Sus scrofa: one gene and its partners. The protein of the gene in region 2 interacts with the protein of the main gene of each other region in a biochemical or structural test. Links are inferred from orthologs where the notes say so. Each region holds a gene or a part of one and is shown on either strand. Other genes may lie near its edges.

Region 1 (4,888 bases), on a different chromosome or scaffold from region 2:
CGTTCCAGAAGCCCACCTGCTCCCCTCCCCCACCAGCTTCCCTCACTTTGCGTTTCTTGCGCTCCACTTCAGGAGGTGTCAGTGTGTCCGCCTTTGCCAAGATAGGCACGATGTTGACCCGCTGATGCAGGGCCTTCATAAATTCAACATCCAGTGGCCGGAGCCTGGGGAACAGGAATCTGTGACCACCTGCTAGTGGCAGCCCTGCCCCTGGTGCTCTTGGCCTGTTCCCTTGGCAGCACCCGGTGGTGTCAGGAGCCTCAGGCTCGGACCATACCCGTGGCCGAAGGGCGAGATGAAGTACAGGCAGCAGTGCACCCTGTTGTCTTGGATGTTCTTGCGGTTCAGGCCACTTTCATCTCGGAAATACTGCTCAAACTGCTGGTCGATGTATTCTGCCACAGGCTTCCAGCTGGGGCAGGGACAGACAAGCAGAAAAACTGTGGGAGTGGGGGCTGCCTAGTGAGCTCTAGGATTGCAGAGGAGCCCACACCCTGAGCAGTCTTTTCAAGCCTTGGCTATTCCCGGACTTGCTTTACTACATCTTCAGGGAGGTACCTGGCTGGGACATGCATCCTCATAGAAAATCAGACTGAGCACACAGGCAGGGGGTCATCAAATACTAGTCTGATGAGAGGGAGAGAGCCCAGGTGACCAAACAAAGCATTGAGACCAGCCAGGTGCCAGCAGGGAAACACCAACGGGAGGCCAGGGCAGGTTCAAAGTTCAGCCTCAGAGCCTTTGTTTGGGTGGTTCCATCCTCTCCTCCACCTCTCCCAACCCACTCCATCCTTCAGAGCCATATCCAAGAACCATCTCTTCCACAACGGCTCCTGTGACCACTCCAATGGACACTGCTCCCCCTTCCCTTCACCACACACAGAGTTTATATATACACAATATAGGAGTTCCCTTTGTGGCTCAGTGGTAATAAACCCGACTAGTATCCACGAGGACACGGGTTTAATCCCTGACCTCGCCCAGTGGGTTAAGGATCCAGCGTTGCCATGAGCTGTGGTGTAGGTCTCAGACACAGCTCGAATCCCAAGTTGCTGTGGCTGTGGTGTAGGCCAGCAGCTGTAGCTCCAATTCAAGCCCTAGCCTGGGAACTTCCATATGCTGCCGGTGCGGCCCTAAAAAGCAAAAAATAATAACAATAATAATAGTAAGTTCCTGCTGGTTTACTAAATGAGTACATGTGGAGGTGCACTGCAAACCGTGAGGTGCCAGGCAAGTGAAAGCATTACTATTACAGGAGGTAAGAGCAGGTAAGTAGATTGATTCAAGGAGGGCATGATACTTGCTAAAGCAGGAACCAGGGGCTGGTCAGGGCTCAAGTTTCAGGGCAAGCCCAGCTTGCTGAGACATAGTCCTAGATCAGGAAAGGTGATGATGACACGGAGGCCACCTCAATCCAGCAGGAATATTTATGGAGACCACAGTACAGGACTGTGGCAAGAATGTAAGAAACAGATTTCCCCTCAAGGGTTAGATCATGCAGTTGAAGATGAAGCAGTGTGCTGAGCCACAAGTCACATGTTGTAATGGTAAAGCATGTTAGGGGCGTGCAGAGCACAGAAAGGTCTGTAAGGGTATGACCAGTCTGTGAGGCCATCGTCCAGTACAGCGCGTGGGACCCGTGAAGTCACACAGGGGCCCCACCACACCCGGTTTATTCTCTGCTGTGACCATCTTGAAATTCTTAATCATTTTGAACAAGGGTCCCACACTTTTATTTTGCACTCGTCTTGCAAATATCATCTCAAAGTTCATGAGTGTAGGAGTTCCCATTGCGGCTCAGCGGTCATGAACCTTACTAGTATCCATAAGGATGCAGGTTTGATCCCTGGCCTGGCTCAGTGGGTGAAGGATCCGCCATTGCCGTGAGCTGCGGTGTAGGTCACAGATACGGCTCAGATCCTACGTTGCTGTGGTTGTGGTGTAGGCCAGCAGCTGCAGCTCTGATTTGACCCCTAGCCTGGGAACTTCCATATGCCATGAGTGTGGCCCTAAAAAAGCAAAAAAAAAAAAAAAAGTTCATGGGTGTAATGTACGCAGCCCTTTACAGTTTCAGGAGGTTTTTTTTGTTTGTTTGTTTGTTTGTTTTTTTGGCCACGTCTACAGCATATGGAAGTTCCTAGGCCAGGGATCAAACCTGCACTACAGCAGCCACCTGAGCCACTGCAGTGACAATTCTGGATCCTTAACCAGCTACAACACAAGAGAGCTCTGCCCTTTACAGGTTTTTTGGTTTTTTGTTTTTGTTTGTTTGTTTGTTTGTTTGTTTTTGGCTTTTTAAGGCCATGACCACGGCATGTGGAGGTTCCCAGGCTAGGGGTTGAACTGGAGCTGCAGCTGCCAGCCTACGCCACAGCCACAGCCACACCAGATCCTTTAACCCACTGAGCAAGGCCAGAACCTGCATCTTCATGGATACTGGTCAGATTCTTAACCTGCTGAGCCACAATGGGAATCCCACTTTACAGTTTTCAGCACACATTCACATGCATCTTTCTGGGTTGATTTTCAGATCAACTGGGTGAGGTGGTAAGGCCAGAATTTTTCAGTTGAAGAAATGGGACCGTGGTCATTTGCTCAAGATCAGGGGGTTACTAAATACCGAACCAAGATCTGAACTCTCAGTCTAGGACCCTTAGCACCACCCTGCCTAACTTCCTCATCAAAGGCGCCACCTTTTCTCTAGTCTTTACATCCATTTGTGTCTTCATCTACTCACTCAGGTCTGACCACCATCTAAGCATCCTTCTGATTCCCGAAAAAAAGGGATGCTTGGGCAGCAGGTGGCAAAGCTACCTTTTCTACAAGCAGGTTGCTTCCAGGATGCCTGGAACAAACAAACTTCCATCTGTGCTTTCCCTTTGCCTCTTCTGCCCTTCACCACCCCCCATGCATTCTCACTCCTTTAATAACTTGCAATAGCACCTAAAATATTGCTGGTGAAAGGAACGAAGGAGGGAGGGTGACAATTATTGAGCACTTACTAAACATCACGCCCTGTGCTATATGTTTTTTGGTTGTTTTTTTGTTTTGTTTTGTTTTTTGGTTTTTTTTGTCTTTTTGCTATTTCTTTGGGCCGCTCCCGTGGCATATGGAGGTTCCCAGGCTAGGGGTCGAATTGGAGCTGTAGCCGCCAGCCTACGCCAGAGCCACAGCAACGCGGGATCTGAGCCGCGTCTGCAACCTACACCCCAGCTCATGGCAACGCCAGATCGTTAACCCACTGAGCAAGGCCAGGGACCGAACCTGCAACCTCATGGTTCCTAGTCGGATTCATTAACCACTGCGCCACGACAGGAACTCCATATATGTTTTCACATATGTTTGCTGTATTTTTCTTTTTTTTTTTTTTTCTTTTTGCTTTTTAGGGCTGCACCCAGGGCATACAGAAGTTCCCAGGCTAGGCTGGGTGTCACATTGGCACTACAGCTGCCAGCCTACGCCACAGCCACAGCAACGCCAGATCCAAGCCGCGTCTGCGACCTACACCACAGCTCTCGGCAACACTGGATCCTTAACCCAGTGAGTGAGACCAGGGATCAAACCCTCATCCTCATGGATCCTAGTGGGGTTCATTACCACTGAGCCACAACAGGAACGCCTGTGTTTACTTTTGTGAGGTTTCTCCTTCCTATCTGTGTCCCCATCCCCCTTCTGGAATTATAGGTCAGAGTTAAAGGAACACTAGAGAGCATCTCCTCCAATCCTCTCCCTCTCCCTTTACAGAGGAGCAGCTGTCCATAAGCGGCAGTGGCACGTTCGAGGTCGCAAACCCCTTCTTCCTGACAGTGGATGTGTCCGTGCCCCTGTGTGCGTCTACGGGATGGGTGGGGGGTAGGGACAGGGGCTGGGCTTGGTCAGACATACCACTCTGTGTTGTTAACGGCATCCCCAAAACCTGGTGTGTCCACAATGGTGAGCCGCAGCTTCACGCCCTTCTCCTCTATGTCCACTGCATGCTTAGTGATCTCCACCGTTTGCATGATCCGTTCTGGAGAAGGACAAAACTGAGGCCAGGGAAGGGGCAAGGACCTGCCCAGCCAGGACACACCGCCCACTGCAGCCAGCTCTGCTACCCGGACTGTCTCACCCACACTGCCCCCTCCCCGCCCCCAGGCTGCCTGGGGGCCTGTTCTCTGGGAACCAACGAGGAGCACATTTCCCAACACAGGAAATGCCGGTGGCTGTTGGCTCTGGCCCCAGCCTCTTCTCTGCTCCCAGCTCTTTTCTTGGATTCCTGGAATCCTTTGGGGGTCAGAGACTCACTCAGAGAGCAGGATTCTGGTCCCTGCCCTGCTTCAGCACCCAAATCTTTAGGGAGCTGGCTGGTGGGCTGCCAGGCTAGGCAGGCCTACGGAGAGATGCTGTCAGTCTCCCTAGGAAGCCATGGTTTCCTGCATGCTGGGGAAGGCTCCAGCCCCCAGACTCTGGAGTGAGTTCCCAAGTCAGCTCTGCTCGCCTGTCTTCATGCTCCTCTCTTTTCCTCACCTTCAGCACTCAGGAGTTTCCGGTCCCGGTATAGATCAGTGAGGAAGAGGCTGTTGATGAGAGTGGATTTCCCCAGGCCAGACTCTCCTGACAGGAGAGAGAGGACAGAGGCACCAAATCAGATCTATAACCAAGAGGCAATCCCACTGGACCAAGGTGTGCATGGCGGCGGGGGAGGGCTAGTTGCTTACATAATTGGGAAGAGAATAACCAAACCACAACAGAGCTGGGAGAAAACAGAGAGAAGAGCTTGTCCAGCCTTCTCATTTGAATGAGGCCCAGAGAGGATAAAAGACTGCCCAGGGTCACACAGAAAAAGGCAATACTAGAAAATACTAGAAAACTGACAAGTGTTCTTTACCCCGTCACCACCCCCTCCCTG
Region 2 (4,888 bases):
TTTGTGTGTACTTTATTTTAAAGAGGCAAGATGACAAAGAGACATTTAGAATGTCATCATTTTAAGATGCTACTAACTGTAAACAGCATGATTATATGATGTACCACCACTGCCAATTACATTATCACCCACCATCACATGTGTCCAGATTTTACAAATTTAAACTGTGAACAATTATGTGTCTTAGAATCAGTGAGATTCAGCAGTATTTGCTAAAGGGGTGTGATAAGTTCTCTGCAACATGGGTTCTCTTGTCCCCATCATTAAAGAGCCCACTTCCTACAACAACAAAAGCAGACATTCCTAATTTGGTGTTTAGAAATGGAATCATCTGGAGCTCCTGTCGTGGTGCAGCAGAAGCGAATCCAACTAGGAACCATAAGGTTGTGGGTTCAATCCCTGGCCTCGCTCAGGGGGTTAAGGATCCGGTGTTGCCCTGAGCTGTGGTGTAGGTTTCAGATGAGGCTCTGATCTGGCATTGCTGTGGCTCTGGCGTAGGTTGGCAGCTGTAGCTCCGATTGGACCCCTAGCCTGGGAACCCCCATATGCTGCAAGTGCGGCCCTCAAAAGACAAAAAAAAAAAAAAAAAGAAAAAAGAAAAGGAATCATCTGAATGTCATATTTATGATACATAATGTTTTGGTCACCAGAGAAAGCTTAGGTTTTTATTTTTTTTTAAATATATAAAGTAGGTGACCCCATTTTTATAAACCTGGTGCAAATTTTGATCCACTGGTGAAGGCAAAAATAGTTGAGGTGAAAAGTTATTCAAATTTTCTCACTGCATACAGTCTAACTTGCCTGTCACTGAATGAACATTTAAATACCTTACCCTGGATACCACTTCGCATGCTGTTCCCAAGGGTCTTCACTGGGCTTCCAATCTGTTAGCCCTCCTCCACAGTGAAAGCACTTTACTTTATCACCTTCACCTAAGAAAACATAAAAGTAAAAAATAAATGTATTTGTGTAATTACAAGCTTACACAAAACACCCCTTTAAATACTATAAAATTAAGCATTTCTAAATCACATGAAAACCTCAGAGCTTAAAAGAAGATATCTGAATTCACATCTAAGTAACAGATAAGCTCATTTGAGGAGGAAATACACATTAAATTCACTGATTGAATTTGAGGTATTTTACAGAAGACAAAAACAAAATTTCCTAATCTTTATGTGAAAAACTACAATTGGTTTTAACATGTCATTTGGGGCCATCAATTCTACACTTAATTTTTGTTTTTCTTTTGGCCTTGCTCTGTGGCATGTGGAAATTTCCAGGCCAGGGATCAAATCCAAGTCATAGCAGTGATCCGGGTCACTGCAGTGACAATGCCAAGATCCTTAATCTGCTGTGCCACAAAGGAACTCCTACACTTACTTTTTTTTCAAACTGAAACTTTAACAATAAAGTTCAGTATAATGAAATTACAAAGTAAGTTTCTTTAAGGTTATAGCAATATGGCACTAAACAAACTTGCAAGATTTGCTATATGATACTAAGTAAATAAACTACTAATTGATATTTTGTATTTTGGCACCCAAAGTAAATGGGTCAGATATACATTGATATACTTTTTCTGAATATTCCTGGAAGCCCTCACACTAACGGCCCTTCTTTCCATACTGAGATGTCTACAGTAGTCCATTTGAAAAGTGCTCCTGGTAAGCAATAAGATATCATGCAGGGCAGCTTTCAAATATACTGTCTATGTACAAAAGGCAGATACCAATTTTAACATCAGCCAAAGTAAATTCTCTATTAACTCTTCTTACAGAGTTGTTGTGAGGTGTAGAGAAAATGCATGTGATACATATATATTCAACACAAAGAGAAGGTGCACAATATAATTCAGTGCTTATATTACAGATTCAACATAAGGGTTCAAAGAATAATACTAATATATATAACTATACTAGCCTACACCTAAATATTTAATAGTTTAGTGGGCAAATGGCATCTATTATTTTTTAGGAGCCCTGGGATAGTTGGCAAGTTATTTATTAGCTCAGTTTAATAATAAAGTTTACCTAAAGCATAAAATCCAGCTCTTGCAAGCTGCTCCTTGTTAACTGAATATATCCACGTCCCAAATGTAATGATCCGTGCTTCATAATCTGCCATGGCTGGATTTCTTGGAAGATTTGTCGAATTTGGGAAATTCCTATCAGAACTCACATCAGATTCACTTCGAATATTAACATTCCGGCCCAAAACAAAAAAGCAATTAGGAAAGTGCCGCCTGTGTTCTGACCATGCACGATCACATGGTTCCCAATTTTTCAGTTTCCCGCCACAACAAAAGCACTGCACCTGATCATCAATACCTGTGTAGTAGAGTCCAGCACTAGCTAACTCTCTAGGGGTTAAGTGAGCATAGTCTGGCCAGTTCTGAAACGACTTTAATCTAGCTTCTTCACTACACATGGCAGGGTTCCTCGGGTATATGGTGTCTGATAAGTCTACAACCTGTCCAGTTCTCAAAAGATAGTCTGCATGAGTCTCAGATGGCCTTTCTAAAACAAAATGATTTCTGTTTCCCAGATAGTTTTCAGCTTTGTACTGACCATTTTGGACACCAGGATTTGTAGGTTGCACAGCACTATTTTCCAAATAAAAGCCATTGATAAATCTGCAATTTGGGGATACTTTCCTGTGTCTTCCAACTGCTGAGTCTCCATATTGCCATCTATCTACTGCCGCATGACAACTAAAGCACCGCACTGTGTCTCCTTCACCAGTATATAGAAAACCAGCTCGTGCTAGCGTTGATGCTGAAACAGGACTACTACTTGGAAAATTAGCAAAAGTTTTTAGTCTATTAAACTCTTCTACAAATTCTTCATCCTTATTGATGTCTGTAGGTACACAAGATTTAGATCCTTCAAAACTGTTAAAAGTCATCTTCTCTTGAAAATAGGACTTGTCCACCTTTTCTAAAAAGAGAACATTACATTAGGAAATCCAAAATGTGAAACACAGGTAATACACTTTTGATATTAGGAGCTAACAAATTACCCACTGATGACATAAAAGTAATCATACAATCTCTAAGAAACATTCTAATTATAAATACTAGAATTCTGTATTACCACATGATTGAGGTCATAAATTAAGAACTATCATTTTTTTTATTTTTACTTATTTATTTTTGGCTGCACCTGTGCCGTGTGGAAGTTCCCCCAACCAGGAATCAAACCCATGCCACAGCAGTGACCTGAGCTGCCGCAGTGACAATGCCAAATCCCTAACCCGATGTGCCATAAGAGACTTCTTGTTTTCTCTTTCATAGGAAAGTAATATTTAAGCAAGTAGAATTATTTAAGTGCTTACTTTACATAAATATGGAAACTATATGATACAGAATTTATTAAAATTATTAACCATTAAAACCATCAGTTAGGAAAAACACAAAAGAAGCATAAAATATGCATATTCTTGAAGTCAATGCATAATTGTTATAATGGATTATTGTATATTCAAGGCATAAAAGTTCAGTTTTTACAATAAAAAAGGATGTTCAGAATGTTAATGATTTTCAATATTTCCTTACTGATGAGCAAAAGATAAGTTTTATTCATAATATTGGTTCCAATGTGTTCTTTAAGAGTATCAAATATTTATGACTTTCAGGCATAAACAAAGATTCCATTTTTGTTGGAAATGGATCATCTCAAATGTATATAATAGTGTCCTCTAGGGGGTGGCTCAGGAAAAATATTAAGTACATGTAGACCTTTAATTGCTATTATTTTTGCAATCAACTGCCCACAGTCAAGGAACAATCTGTTCAAATGGAAGAAAGCCTCATCAGAGCTGCCAAATTACAGCTGTATAATATCTAACCGAGATAAAATACTAAAAGGAACTGGCTGGGTTATGAGAAGAGTGGCCAGATAATTTATCCTCCAAACCTGGATGCTTTTGAAAGTGAAAAATGATGCTACTAATAATTACACTGGGACAAGAGGTGCAAATCAGGGTTGCCCCAAGCAAACCTGGTTCTCCAGAATCTCGCACTGTTCCTGACACTGTGCTCAATACCTGCTTGTCAAATGCAAAATAAAAGAACAGTCATAATGACTCCATCTCTACTTCATATGCATATTAACTTATTTCTTGGGAAGAATTAGCAGCTCTTTTGGCATTATGTTGGCACAATATGTCTGGGAATATCATCTCTCTTGGAATTAAAGTTCAACACAAAGCTTCTGGTTTGTAGGCTGGCATGGACTTCAGTCTTTCCTGGACTTGTCAATTTATAATGTTATTAATTCAATATACCTCAAGAGCTGACTTATAGCTCATACAACAATTTTTAGATGACACTCTCCATGACTTTTGGTTATTGTTTTCCAGATGTCTGAAAACATTCCAACACTAGTTTCAAGATCTTTGTTGAATCAGCATAAACTAGATGACAAAAACCAAGATTCAATGAAGCCAAGGCTGCCTTACAGGCTAATGAGATAAAATAGGGTTATGTGTAAAGTCTTATATTCTGATGTTAAAATTCTGTTTTATGTGAGCTGTGCTGTAGGTTGCAGACGTGGCTCAGATCCCATGGCTCTGGCGTAGGCAGGTGGCTACACCTCCAATTAGACCCCTAGCCTGGGAACCTCCATATGCCCTGGGTGCGGCCCTAGAAAAAGGCAAAAAGCCAAAAAAAAAAAAAAAAATCTGTTTTATAACTAAAGGAAGATGGAATCTTGGTTTGGACTTTTTTTTTTTTTTTTTGCTTTTTAGGACTACCTTTAAAGATCTAAAAGGCTGTCATGTAGAAAAGGGATTCAAATTGTTTAGCTTGAGGGCAGAATTAGAGTCAATGAACATAATTACAGCCAGTAGACTTTAACCCAACACAAGGATGAATAGCTACAACAAT
Region 3 (4,888 bases), on a different chromosome or scaffold from region 2:
GGTTGCGGGTTCGATCCCTGGCCTTGCTCAGTGGGTTAAGGATCTGGTGTTGCCATGAGCTATGGTGTAGGTCGTAGACGCGGCTGGGATCCCTCGTTGCTGTGGCTCTTGCATAGGCCGGCGGCTACAGCTCCAATTCGACCCCTAGCCTGGGAACCTCCATATGCCGAGGGAGCGGCCCAAGAAAGGGCAAAAAGACAACCCCCTCCAAAAAAAATAAAGTAGGTCATACATAGAAGAGCAAGTAGGGCAAAAAAGAGTAAGACAAAAGTACTGGAGATTTTTTTAAATATGTTGCAAGGAAGAGAAGATAGAGCTGACGTAGTCATAGAAACAACAGAGTATCAGTCAAAAAATAATAATTTTTGGCCATGCCCATAGTATGTGGAATTTCAGGGATTGAAACCAGGCCACAGCAGTGACAATTCCAGATTCTTAACCCACTGAGCCACCAGGAAGCTCCCAAAAAATAATTTTAAAGGCTTCCTTCAGCTCTACTCTTCTGCAGTTCTAGTCAGGGATTATCGTAGGGTTTTATGTTAAATTAATGCATGTCATTTCTTTACTAAGAGTTCCTGTGCTGTCCAGCTAAAGCCTCCCAGTCATGAACTAGGATTCCCCAAATTAAAATGTCTAATTATAAAATAAATCATGAGAGTGTAACATATACCATAATGAATATAATAAAAAATACTGTAATAAATTTGTACAGAGGTAGGAGGTTATTAGACTCATCATGGTGATAATTGTGTAATGTATTTAAATGTCATATGACTGGTATACACCTGAAACTGACATGACATTGTACGTCAACTAAACTTCAATTAAAAATAAATAAAATAGGGAGTTCCCGTCATGGCTCAGTGGCTAGTGAATCCGACTAGGAGCCATGAGGTTACTGTTCGATCCCTGGCCTTGCTCAGTGGGTTAAGTGTCCGGCATTGCTCTGAGCTGTGGTGTAGGTTGCAGACGCAGCTCGGATCCCGTGTGGCTGTGGCTGTGGCTGTCGCTGGCAGCTACAGCTCCGATTAAACCCCTAGCCAGGAAACCTCCATATTCCACAGGTGCAGCCCTAGAAAAGGCAAAAAGACAAAAATAAGTAAATAAATAAATAAATAAATAAAATAGCTCCTACTGTGGTGTGGTGGGTTAAGGGCCCGGCATTATCTCTGTGGCAGCACAGGTTCAGTCCCCAGCCCGGCACAGTGGGTTACAGATCCAACATTGCCCAGCTGTGGCATAGGTTTATTTAGTCAGTGAGAGTAATAAATAAATAAACACACACAAGTCTTTAAAAATAAAAATTTACTGGTAGTTTTCATTTCAAACCATACTATAGTTTTTTGTTTTCTTTTATCCAGGGTTCAATTAAGGACCAATTAAAAGCATATGGAGCTCTTACTGAGAACGTGACTAGGAAATACACCCGTCAGATTCTGGAGGGTGTCCATTATTTGCACAGTAATATGATTGTTCATAGAGATATAAAAGGTAAGTAATGAACTATTTTTTTAAATGAGCTATTTTTAAAAAAATATACAGCATTCTCTATCTCTTTTTTTAAAATGGCTGCATCCACAGCATATGGAAATTCTTGGGCCAGGGATTATATCTGAGCCACAGCTGTGCCCTACACCACAGCTATGACTACACCAGATACTTAACCCACTGTGCCAGGTTGGGGATCAAATCCATAAAGACAATACTGGATCCTTGAGCTGCTGTAGGGAACTCCAGCAGCTCACTCTCTCTTTTTTTTTTTTTTTTTTTTTTTTTTTTTTTTGCTTTTTCAGTGCTGCACCTGTAGCATATGGGAGTTCTCAGGCTAGGGGTTGAATTGTAGCTGCAGCTGCCAGCCTACACCACAGCCATAGCAATGCGGGATCCAAGCCACGTGTGCAATTGATACCACGGCTCACGGCAGTGCAGGATCCTTAACACACTGAGCAAGGCTAGGGATCAAACTTGTGTCCTCATGGATCCTAGTCGGCTTTGTTAAACTCTGAGCCATGAAGGGAACTCCCTCTTTTTTTTTTTTTTAATGAAACATGGTTAAGAAATTGGACATTTGAATTAATACATCTACCTTTAAAATACTGTAGGAAGACAGTTCCAACTAGTCCTGATGATCAGGGTTCCACAGGAGGGAAACTACCCTGTGGGGTTCACAGGTTTAGTAAAGTTCAAATGATTATAAAAAAAGAGACATGTTTTCATCCAGAGAGCACAGGTATTAGCATATAATGCTTAAGAATAGGGCCCCTGAGGAGCTCCAGCTGTGGCGCAGTGGGATTGGAGGCATCTTGGGAGCTCTGGGTCTGGCACAGTGGGTTAAGGATCTGGCGTTTCTGTAGCTGTGGTTTGGGTCGCAGCTGTGACTCAGACCTGGCCCGAGAGCTCCATATGCCACAGGGCAGCCAAAAATGGGGAGAAAAAAAAAGTAGGGTCTCTGATACCACATAGCCTGGTTTAAATTCAGGCTTTATCTCTCCCTAACTGTGAGACATCTTCTGTGCCTCAGTTCCTCATTTTTAAGGAGGGAAATAACAGTGTACAGCTCAGAGGATTCCTATAAGAATTAAATGAGTTGGAGTTCCTGTTGTGGCTCAGCAGGTTAAGGACTTCTTGACATAGTGTCTGTGATAATGTGGGTTAAATCCCTGGTCTCGCTCAGTGGGTTAAGGATCTGGCCTTGCCGCAGGCTGTGACATAGGTTGCAGATGAGGCTCTGTGGCTGTGTCTGTGGTGTAGGCTGGCAGCTGCAACTCCAATTTAACCCTTAGCCCAGGAATTTCCATATACCGCAGGTACAGCCTTAAAAAAAAAAAAATTAAATGAGTTAATGCATATAGTATGCTTAATACCATGCCTGGTATCTAGAAAGCACTCAAAAGTTAGTTACAATCATGATGTACTTTATGTTGAGAGCATTTTTAAAGCTGTGGGATGGATATCATTACCTAAGGAGAGAATAAAAAGAGAGCCCAAGACTGAGCTTTGATGAATTCCAGCTCAGTTAAGCTCACTTTTTAAAACTCAGCTGTTTTCATGGATCAAACATAAAGTGACTGCATGAAGCAAGACAAAATTGATTGGTAGAGATGTGTGAATTTAAGAGTCTTAAAACTCTGTTCTCCAAAGCATACCGGGAGGCTTCATTCTGTAAAAACCAGGTTGTGACCCAAATGTTATGATTACTTTATTTGGGAGTTCCCATCATGGCGCAGCAATTAAACCCATGAGAACTTGGGTTTGATTCCTGGCCTCGCTCAGTGGGTTAAGGATCTGGCATTGCCGTGAGCTGTGGTGTATGTTGCACATGCAGCTCGGATCCTGTGTTGCTGTGGCGTAGGCTGGCGGCTGCAGCTCCGATTGGAACCCCTGGCCTGGGAACCTCCACATGCCATGGATGTGGCCCTAAAAAGACGAAAAAAAAAAAAAATCACTTTATTCAATCAGTTGTTGAGAATAATGAACAAATACACACACACAATAAATTTAAAACTTCTTTCCATTAGCCTTCCTGGGAACTCTTAGGAGCTATCATGAATTTACTCCCTTTTGGTGGTGTGTCACATCCTGAACAAGGCCATATTCAGGCTAAAGAGAACATTCCCAGCCAGTTTCAGTCATAGAGTAGAAACTGCTGCAGAATGCCTGGGCAAGACCCCATGTATAGTGGAGCTGACCGGTGAGTCTTGGAGATGACCACATCACTCATGATCTGAAAAAAAGAGGAGCCTATCTTTCACCTCAAGATCCACCAATTCTTACCAGTTGTCAAGTATAAAACCCAGTAGTTTAAAGAACCATGTAAGGTGGTGACAATTTTGTAATGTATAGAAATACTGAATCACTGTGTTGTGTACCTGGAACTTACATGGTAAAACAAAGAAAAATACATAGGGAAATGATTTTTATTATGAATTAGTCTGTTAGGAATAATCTTTATTCAAACAGTTACTCCCCAACTGGGTTTTTTCACCTTGCCAGTGTGAGGAGGTTGGAAGCAAGGTGATTTATAAACAGTACAGGGCAAGATATATGATAAAAGTGTAAGATATAAAATTAGATGTGCAGTATGACCTCAAGTATTAAAGTATGGCCTAGGAGAAAAATTTCCACATGATTAACAGTGGTTATTTCCAAGTGGCAGGATTAGTGATAATTACTTTTCTCCTGGATACTTTTTACTTTTTCTGTATTTCCTAACTTTTTATGATGAGCAGTTTTTAAATGGCAAAGGAAAAGGAAAACTAGCTGATCACTTTTGTTTAAACCCATGAGTTCATAATGAAACCTAGGATAAAAATTAATTGATCATTTTTGCTAGGGAGCCTACTCATTATTTCATAATAGGGTCCTTTTACTCTGCTTTTATGAGCTGTACTACTGAGGACTAAATAGTGGATGAAAGGAGACTTATCTTTATAAAAATATCTTAGCTAACAAATGACAGATTAATAGATAGAAACACTGAACATTAACATCTGCTGACATCACAGAGATAGTCTCGCGTTACATACCTCCTATTCATAAACTATAACATCATCTACAAAATAGTTTTGCCGAAAAACAAAAATATCTTGAACCTGAATTTCATCAAGCCTCTAGGTACAGCTACCAAATTGTAGAAATATAGAATATATACATAGAATAGATAAACATGTTAAATTTCCTCTTGGGATGGATTCAGCAAAATCTAGACCATAAGAAAGCTATAGGCAGACAACTTAGATTTTTCATAAATTGCAAAGAAAAACAGGTTGGAGGGAACTATAGATTTGGACTTAAGAGATAGATGTATCAGTGATTCTCAGTGTAAGGACCTTATTTAAGAAAAATGTGAAAAACAGTATATATTTAATAATATTAAGGAGTTATTGTC

What was found. The genes of interacting proteins can lie anywhere in the genome.
Region 1: the proteins of XIAP (region 2) and SEPT4 form a complex in vitro, tested with the Homo sapiens proteins (4 studies listed by BioGRID, with this or other methods). The link is inferred for Sus scrofa from reciprocal best matches to the Homo sapiens genes XIAP and SEPTIN4.
Region 3: of the proteins of XIAP (region 2) and MAP3K2, one has a biochemical effect on the other in vitro, tested with the Homo sapiens proteins (2 studies listed by BioGRID, with this or other methods). The link is inferred for Sus scrofa from reciprocal best matches to the Homo sapiens genes XIAP and MAP3K2.

What each region holds. Positions count from the first base shown.
Region 1 is NC_010454.4:34,774,223-34,779,110, forward strand, and holds part of SEPT4 (septin-4), read right to left. Parts: intron 4,594-4,888; coding exon 4,507-4,593; intron 4,010-4,506; coding exon 3,886-4,009; intron 413-3,885; coding exon 278-412; intron 165-277; coding exon 47-164; intron 1-46. UniProt on the Homo sapiens protein: Filament-forming cytoskeletal GTPase. Pro-apoptotic protein involved in LGR5-positive intestinal stem cell and Paneth cell expansion in the intestines, via its interaction with XIAP. May also play a role in the regulation of cell fate in the intestine.
Region 2 is NC_010461.5:101,416,343-101,421,230, reverse strand, and holds part of XIAP (E3 ubiquitin-protein ligase XIAP), read right to left. Parts: intron 2,940-4,888; coding exon of another isoform or gene 2,908-2,939; coding exon 2,034-2,907; intron 933-2,033; coding exon 833-932; intron 1-832.
Region 3 is NC_010457.5:25,166,636-25,171,523, forward strand, and holds part of MAP3K2 (mitogen-activated protein kinase kinase kinase 2), read left to right. Parts: intron 1-1,361; coding exon 1,362-1,491; intron 1,492-4,888. UniProt on the Homo sapiens protein: Component of a protein kinase signal transduction cascade. Regulates the JNK and ERK5 pathways by phosphorylating and activating MAP2K5 and MAP2K7. Plays a role in caveolae kiss-and-run dynamics.